Linked DNA regions of Drosophila melanogaster. The protein of the gene in region 1 interacts with the protein of each later gene in a pairwise test. Each region holds a gene or a part of one and is shown on either strand. Other genes may lie near its edges. The genes, in order: ntc and SkpF.

What was found.
Region 2: the proteins of ntc (region 1) and SkpF interact in a two-hybrid assay, tested with the Drosophila melanogaster proteins (one large-scale study listed by BioGRID).

Annotation. Positions count from the first base shown.
Region 1 is NT_037436.4:3,803,163-3,808,165, reverse strand, and holds ntc (nutcracker), read left to right. Parts: upstream 1-1,706; 5' UTR 1,707-2,206; coding exon 2,207-2,345; intron 2,346-3,401; coding exon 3,402-4,207; 3' UTR 4,208-4,334; downstream 4,335-5,003. Other genes in the region: IntS10 (integrator 10), read right to left, coding at 57-1,101, 1,155-1,354. UniProt on the Drosophila melanogaster protein: Functions together with PI31 to control non-apoptotic caspase activation during sperm individualization. Positively regulates PI31 stability.
Region 2 is NT_033778.4:23,457,345-23,460,821, reverse strand, and holds SkpF (SKP1-related F), read left to right. Parts: upstream 1-2,062; 5' UTR 2,063-2,135; coding exon 2,136-2,651; 3' UTR 2,652-2,757; downstream 2,758-3,477. Other genes in the region: CG43795 (uncharacterized protein), read right to left, coding at 2,957-3,477.

The DNA.
Region 1 (5,003 bases):
CTGTGTGAGAAATTCATTAAGGTTTACCCATGTGAAAAAACTGGCTCTCTACTTACCGTCATGCTGCCTTGCATTAGATTAAGGCTCAAGATCTGCAGGCTTTGCACCAGACTGCTCTGGGTGGTCATGTCCGCCATAAGCTTGTTGGCCTCATCCCGGTGTCCGAAATATATGGCCAAGTCGAAGAGGAATCTTGAGATCCAAGGCGCCAAGGGAAGAGCCAGCATAAGTTGACTGAAATCCCTTTGGAACTGATCCGTATTGAGCAGCTGCCAGCACTGGGCGGCGTGTAGGAAGGCCTTGGATAACTCTGGACTTATGGCCGTGGTCAGGGAGAATTTCGGTGGCTCCATGCTGGGCACTTCGGAGCCATCACCTTCCGGCGACCATTCCATGAATCCTTCTACCAAAACATGAGTTACATCGGCATCCTCGATCCTCAGCTTACAATTTCGTATATAACCATGAAGGGAGTAAATGAACAAGGTGGTGGCGTAGAACAAAACCTGGGAGCTGCCCGCAGGACTGCCGGAAAGTATGTCCACCAGCTTTTCCCAGTAGACGTTCTGGTTGACATGCTTGCTGAAGGGCAGGAAGGGCTCCCAGCCCATCATCTGACCGCAGATCATCAGCACTTTAAAGATGTTCTTCCAGGCATCTGCTGTATCCGATTCATCCATTATTTGCCGCAAATAAAACTCCAAGGAACTGGTATAAAGTCTGCAGGCCAGATTTGGCGAAAGTTCCGGGGGCTTATTCTGGATCATGGGCAATACCTCCTCCACCAGAATCCGCTGATAGAGATCCGGTTCGGTTTTCATGCCCTCCGCCAGCATTTCCAGTAGCCTGGGAGCCTGAGTTATGGCTGATTTGGGAAACTTGTTGAACATCAGTATGTAGATATAGATGCGCTCCAGATTATCGGCACTGTGGTTGATGGTGTGCATGAATATGTTGTGCTGTACTTCCGGAGTTAGGTGCTTGTACATTTTTACATAGAACTCGTGTTCCGGCGTAGTTTCATTCTCATTTCTGAGGGCATTTGTTAGGGAGTTGATCTCCTGCCACAGCTCCGTATGTTGATTCTGGAAATTGGTGGCTCTGGAACAGTAAAAGATAAAGTAACTGGAATAGATGTGCTATTGTATACTCACATAGCACTGAAACACTTTGCTGCCTCCTCATAATTCTGAGCATCGCGTTCCAGTAGATAAGCCTCGTATTGCAGGTTGAATGCATTGGGATATAAAGTTTTAGCTGTGATAATCCAGGCCATGGCCGCGCAAGGATCGCTTTTCCGGAGTCTTTGCGCCTCCTTGACCATGTACAACTCATTTTCCTCTTGGCTCGGCATGTTTCTTCGGGTATATCTTTTGTTTTTATTAATTTTCTCCTAGTTTCAACAAAAACAAACCATTTAGCCGGCTATTAGGAATTTATTTACTAGCACTGGCCATATTTTTCTATTAGGGATGGGAACTATTGGATCTAGAAACTAGCTAGAGATTTCAATTATTTTCAAAACGCTTGTTTAGCATAGTGCGCTTGTTTTAGTTACATTAGGGCTGGCGTTATTGAGTCATTTCAACCTAAAACGCTTTTTATATCAATATATGTTCGGTGAATTCGAAGATATTTAATTTTCAGCTTGAATATAGCTAGCTTAACAAGCGACTCTCTCCTCATCTGCAATCGATAACAGCAGCGGCAGTAGTGTTGCATAGTAGCTGCCAGCCAGCTGATTATTCGCTAAATAACCAATTGTTTTTTCGCGAATTTTTCAATTTTCTGTGATTTTTGCGGCTACAAAATCGAAAACTATATTAAGCAAAATACATACGAACCTGGCAATTGCGACTGCTTATGTAATATCTGTGACAAACCAAGTTTTCTAGAAAATACCTGCCGATGCGTCGTTGCGCTTTGTTTTTGTTGCGTGAATAAGAATCGTTGGATATTTGTACATTCGCAATTTGTTGTAAATATGTTTAAATCTTAAGTGCCACAGCTTATCAACGAAGTAATATAATTGCGATTCCCTCCTTTTGTTAATCAGTCCCACTATATAGCACTAAATATAAAAATTGAGTGCACAAATCGCAGTATGCCCCATTTTCTGATTGTCATTCCGAAAACAAACAATGACAGTCGCATTGAAAGTTTAAATCAAATCGTTTCCCAGAAAATTCGTACGTAAATATCTGAAATGTCAGACACTAAATCCGAAATTGAGGGCTTTATAGCCATTCCCACGACATCGGGCGAACAACAACAACAACAGCCGCAACAGCAGCAAAATGAGCAACAAGTGGTCGGCACAAAGGACATTAAAGCTCCTGATCAGGGTAAGTTGTGTAATATTTATAGAAACTTACTAACTTACTTAAGAGCGCTCTATGTAATTGATAAATGGCCTGCAAATAACAATCGTTCATTAGTATCTTATCATATTCTATATCGTAAAATAATCTTAAAAAATACGATTATTGTATATATTAATATTTAGTTGAGAGTATCACTGATATCTAGAAGTTATTCATAATCTATAATAGAAATCATTATTTAATACATATCACTTAACAATAGATACTCATAAATCATGATAAACAAGACAACGTACACTAATTCATGCATTATGCTAATAACAATCTGCTCATTCTATAGATATTTTTTTAACAAATTTATTTGTACCTGTTTCTATTGTTAGTTTATAGAGCAATGTGTTTTTCATCCACGAATTATGCATATCTATTTACTCATACCTTGAATCACTTAACTTGAATGAAGTTCCTTAGACTTTCATTCCAAGATCGGCGACTCTCTTCGATGAATCATCAAGTTAACCCCTTCGAATAAAAGTAACATAAATTCCGAAAAACCTGTTTGATTATTTTGTAAATTGCTTCAAAAATGTGACGTTATATTTATTGTAATAATAGCCGTTTTAATTGTTCAGTTCCAACTTGTTTAACCTAGTGTCTTATCAAATATATTATGTAAACACAAAATAATTCTAAGTTTGATTAATTTTACAATTTATTTTAAAGCAAATTGAGTAGTGAATTAAATATTTATGTCGTGTTAGACATAATTTTATTTACAATTTCTTTCGTGATTTGTTTTTGAATGCAAGTGTTAATTTACTTAATTTATTTAAAGTTCTACATCAGTCTTAAAGTCTTAACGGGAGTTTTGAGTTTACTTCTGTGTTCTATATTTTGTAGTGTCAAAATGTATTGTATATAACTACCGGTTTGAGTTGTTGCTTCCGAAATCCGCACATAGCAGGTTTGTTTCTGCAATTTTCAATCTTCTCCTAACCAACCAACAGCACAGACAATTTCACTAATCATATCCTCGAGATTCTGTTTAAATATAAATACAAATAAAACTCGTTGCAGTGGGGAAAAAGCAGCGACCACGTTTGATACAAGAGAAGAGCACCCAGGAGACAAATCCGTTGATCCTGGAGCATGCTACTCTGGAATGGGTGCCGCAGCATATGGATAAGCTACTGAATCAGTATCAGGAATGTCGCAAAATGCCGGCTGCCGAGTGGCTTCATTTGTTGACTTACCTGGTGGCCCTGGAATGCGGATTTGTGGAGGAGGAGACATTTGCCCAGAAGAGACACCTCATTCAACCCGTACCATCATTTAGCAGCTTTCACGCCCAGAATGTGCGAATCCTGAGCGAACAACCAGCTAGATATGAAGTGTGCTTCAATGACACCGTCTATATAATGCGACTGAGAACACTATTGGACAAGCATGCTCCCGAGGAGACTTCTCTGGTGGCTGCCCTTCAGTGCCGGCTGATGGCCGTCAGCCTGGGGGATCAGCTTATGATCACCCTGTCCCCAGCACCTCCGTCGAAGGAGCCTGGCTACAGCGTCAGCCTGTCTATCGGACGCTATGTACTGAATATTCAGGCGAAGAACAAGCCCATCTACCATCGCTTTCGGAAGCTGGATGAACTCTCATATCAGCTGAAACAGCACTTGTTCCAGCCCATGCGATCGCAGCAACTAATGCAGATGGAGATGAAGCTACAGCCCTCGCTATTGGGCCTCCCGGACGAATTGTACTTCGAGATCTTCAGATATCTGGACAAAAGCCAGCTAAATGTGGTGGCCAGGGTCAATAGACATCTTCATTTCTACAGCAAGGAAGTGGAGCGAAAAAGGCTAAAGGGCGGCAGAAGCTAAGCTCTTGTTTTAATCGAAGCCGGTTTAAGCGATTTTATAAATATTATTATATTAATAAATTATTAAGTGGTGCATAAAGATTCTCGGGAATCATTGTATGTCAATAAATATATTTGCTTATTCAAGTAAATGCCTTGTTAAGAGCTGAAATACAACACGTCTCTTTATATTCTCTGAAATGTTTTAAATATTAAGACGGATTTTTACAATAAACTATCCTCAAAGATAAAGGGAATATTCCTTGCTTTATTTGGTGGAAGGCATGGATTTTTTCAATTGAAAAGGTAAATTCGAGAAAGTGATTCAATTAATTAAGCACTTCAGTTTTCAGATAGATTTTAAGTAACAGGGGAAGGTGTTTTAAATTACTGAAGCTTCTTATGTTTTGTTTTTTTACATATGTTTTAGTAAGAGTAAGAGTAAGAGTAATACCATATATTTGTGTTTAAATTATCCTTTAAATTGTGTCCTTATTGCATGCATTTATACGACCCGCTCCATCAGCAAGGACAATTGTGGATCCTCCGACGCCCTCGGCTGAGTCCTGCAACTCCTTCGATATCTTTGAGCCACCTGCCACGCCCCTGGATTCCATTAGCCTCAAGAGCAGTGCCAGTAGTTACCTCTACGATCGTGATATTACAGGTGAGTTGCGTCCACGTGTCCGCGCCACCTGTTCGTCGGCATTTCACCCCCCCCCCCTCCGCCCTTTATGACCGAAAAGAGGGGTACACGCCCCTAAACGAGTCGGCCCTCAACCACAGAAGTGCAGAATGCGAAACAAGCTGCTCCAGCA
Region 2 (3,477 bases), on another chromosome or scaffold:
GATAACAATGTATCACAAAACAATAACTTCAATTAGTATCTATCTGTGTAGCGCTTTCCCTGTGATTTCCCTTTGCTTTCCTCCTTCGAGTTTCCCTTTTTCCGCTGAAGGAAAAGTTTCCGGCCATCCTTGATTATGTTAACACAAGGAAAACTGATTAATACGGGTCCTGATTAGCCGCCATCCCTCCTGCAATTATGAACCAGTATCTGGGCAATCCATTGGATTTATGGATGTCGAGCTGGATAAATCAAGGAAGTGGAGTTCAGTCCCAGAGGCCACATTCCCCGCTGAACAAATAATGAAAACAAATGCCTGGCATATGACACTAAATGCAATAATGTTGATCCCGTGCCAGATCCGTGGCCGTTTGCAATTTAATTTATTGACAGTGAGTCTTTGACATTTTATTGCTCCCCAGGCCAAGTTACGACATTGTCCGCATTTCCCATTTTTCTCTCCTTTTCCCGCCTTTCCTCGCTATCGACCGACCTTTCCCCTCTGTCACTTAATTTGTCGAGCTGCTAGTCGTTTGGGTTAATTGTTTATTTGTGCGTTTTATTGACAAGCGGCAATCGTTCCTTGGATTCATCAGCTTGTAGTCCTGTCGTCCTTTCTGTGCGGCTTTTAACAAATGAGTTTTTCGTTAACAAATGGCTTTGATTTCCTGGCTCAATCAGCGCACAAAAAGTTGTCATCTAAGCTGGAAAATTATGTCATCGGAATTTGGTGACCATCGACGGTTGGACGATATCCAATGGCCTGTTGCACGAAGCCAGCCACACACCCACGTTGCCCTCGTTTTGGCTCAGAAAAAGTTTGCTTTTTTGCTGATTTCTCTATTGCTATTTGCCACAAAGACACTCAAGAAAAACAGAAGGACATAAATTCCAGGTCTAATGTCTGCACGGAGCACATCCCCATCGGCATTGACACATACGATGCGTGCATGCAGGCAAGGACATTCGTACACTTGGACTTTGGACTTTGGACATTGGAACACACAGGACTTTGGAGTCCGTAACTTTGGTGCTCGGACTTCATACCCAGATATGCGAAATCTGAAGAAACTTTGTGTTTATTGTGCCTGGCTGCTGAACAGAGAGAGAGAGAGCTGCCGAAGAAAAGAAGAGCTCAGAAAACATGGGAGCTGGGCTGGCATGTCCTTGGGATTGTCACTGGGGCGGTTATCCTGATACACGATACACTGCCAAATCGATGATGGAAGCGGAATGGACACGAGTAAACAATGAGCACACACATCAGATTGGTCAGCTTGCTCCGTTTGGCCAGCCTGGACAGCTGGAAATTCCAAGAAAAACCAAATGAATTGCCATCGCTTTGGTTGTCCAGGTAAATCAATGTCCTCCGCCAGCTGGCCTTCCGTTTTGGCCACAAGAATGGTGCAAACTTTTTGCTCGGCACGCCTGCCACGCTAAGTAATTGAACTTTTATCAAAAAATTGCACGCAGCCAGGCGGACGGAAAAATCGAAGGAAAATCGCAGGGAAAGCGATGGTAGTTCTGCCAACTATGGCCAACAAGCGACGAGAGCCACCGCAACAAGAAAAGCACATTATGCTCCTTGTTGACAAAGGACACGGGCCAATCTAGATGAGCAGAAAATGGCGAGTATCTGCTGCAAAGTGAACCCCGAGCAATGAGCGATGGTGAATTGAAAAGGGAAAATGGAGGCCAAATCCCTGGTTTTGTTTTTATTTCCGTATTCGAAATGGGCCCTAAATATTTCATATTTTTCTGTTATAACAAACAGCAATAAATTGTGCTGCAATTGAAATGTCCATTGTGTAGAACATGGTAAATACCATTGTAAGCGGCAATCAACTATTACTTATACAACAATAAATATGTTATGAAACTAAAATTGTGTATTTCTGCCAATATCTAATCGATTTTGCTCGTTATATTGAAATAAAAATGTTGTCTAAATTGTTAATAAATGCTATCTCCATTCCATGGACATTTGTTTGAATTTGATGAATCACCAATTTGTTTCCATTACGAATCTGTTCTGTTTAATTTTTAACTGTCAAGTTGGCACTGACAGATTTTCTTGAAAAGTTGAACTGTACCAGATAACCTTAAAGGAAAACCCTTTGTGGGCGAAAACGGACCATGCCAGTCATCAAATTGCAGTCCTCCGATGGCGAAATTTTCGAGACCGACATCGAGACTGCCAAGTGCTCGAGCACCATTAAGACCCTATTGGAGGATTGTCCAGTGGAAGCGGAGAACGACACTCTTATCCCGCTGCCCAATGTGAACTCGACGATCCTGAAGAAGGTCCTCATTTGGGCCAAGCATCATCGCGAGGACATTGCAGAGGAGAACGAAGAGGAAGCGGCCAAGTCCGTCGCTGTGCAGATCACCCCCTGGGACGCCGAGTTCCTGTCCATGGATCAGGGCACGCTCTTCGAACTCATCTTGGCGGCCAACTACCTGGACATTCCCAATCTGCTGAACGCCGCCTGCATGACGGTGGCCAACATGATTAAAGGCCGCACGACGGAGGAGATTCGCCAGACCTTTCACATAACCAACGATTTCTCGCCCTCCGAGGAGGATTTGATGACGATGGAGTCGGAAGTCCCGCAGGAGGACGAGGCGATAGAGTACGGCGAAATTATATAAATTCGAAGTGAACATTTTCGAAGGATTGATGCCTGTTCCGGATTAGAATGTAACTCGACATCCTTACCTATGCTCACAAAATATCACATAAATATCCTTCATATGTATCTTGACCCTCGAATGACCTTCAGGGAAAGCACACTACTTTCTTGACCGCAATTGTTCAGTACGGATTCCATTTCCATTTCCATTTTCACTTGCATTCGCCAACCGTCTGGCCGAAAACTTTCGATTGGAAAAGTTTGGCATGTGAATATGATGTGGGCTGAGTAACTCGGAAAACTTTGTCCGTGACATCCACTCACCTGGTCAGCATATTGGCGCGATTGACGGCCACCTCGGCCTCCACCCGGAACCTGTCCTGAGCATACCGGTCGACCACGCCCTCGCCCAGATTGAGCGAAGTACCAGCCACGCAGTTGGAGCCCATCAGATGCTGCTGCTCGATATACTGCAGGAACTTGGACACCAGATCGATCTTGCTGTCCCGCGCGTTAATCACGTCGGCGGTAAACTGGTTGGACTCCATGTTGTCGCCGGAATCCTCCTCCACATCGCCAATGACCAGCTGCTTGGTCTTGTCATCGACTTGCGCATCCGGCGGATAGCCGTCGTCCATGGTGACCTCGGAGGTGTCCAGTCCCGCCTCGGAATCGGAGTCGCCATCGCTGTCGAAGCTGATCTGCTTGACCTCCATGCTGGCCGCCTGGGATCTGGCCTCCGCCTCCGGTTCCCGCTGAGCCCCATCGTCCATCCATTCGGTGGTGGCGAGGCTTTCGTTGAGCGGCAGCAGCTTGCCAAATGGTTGACCCTCCTCCTCCTCCTC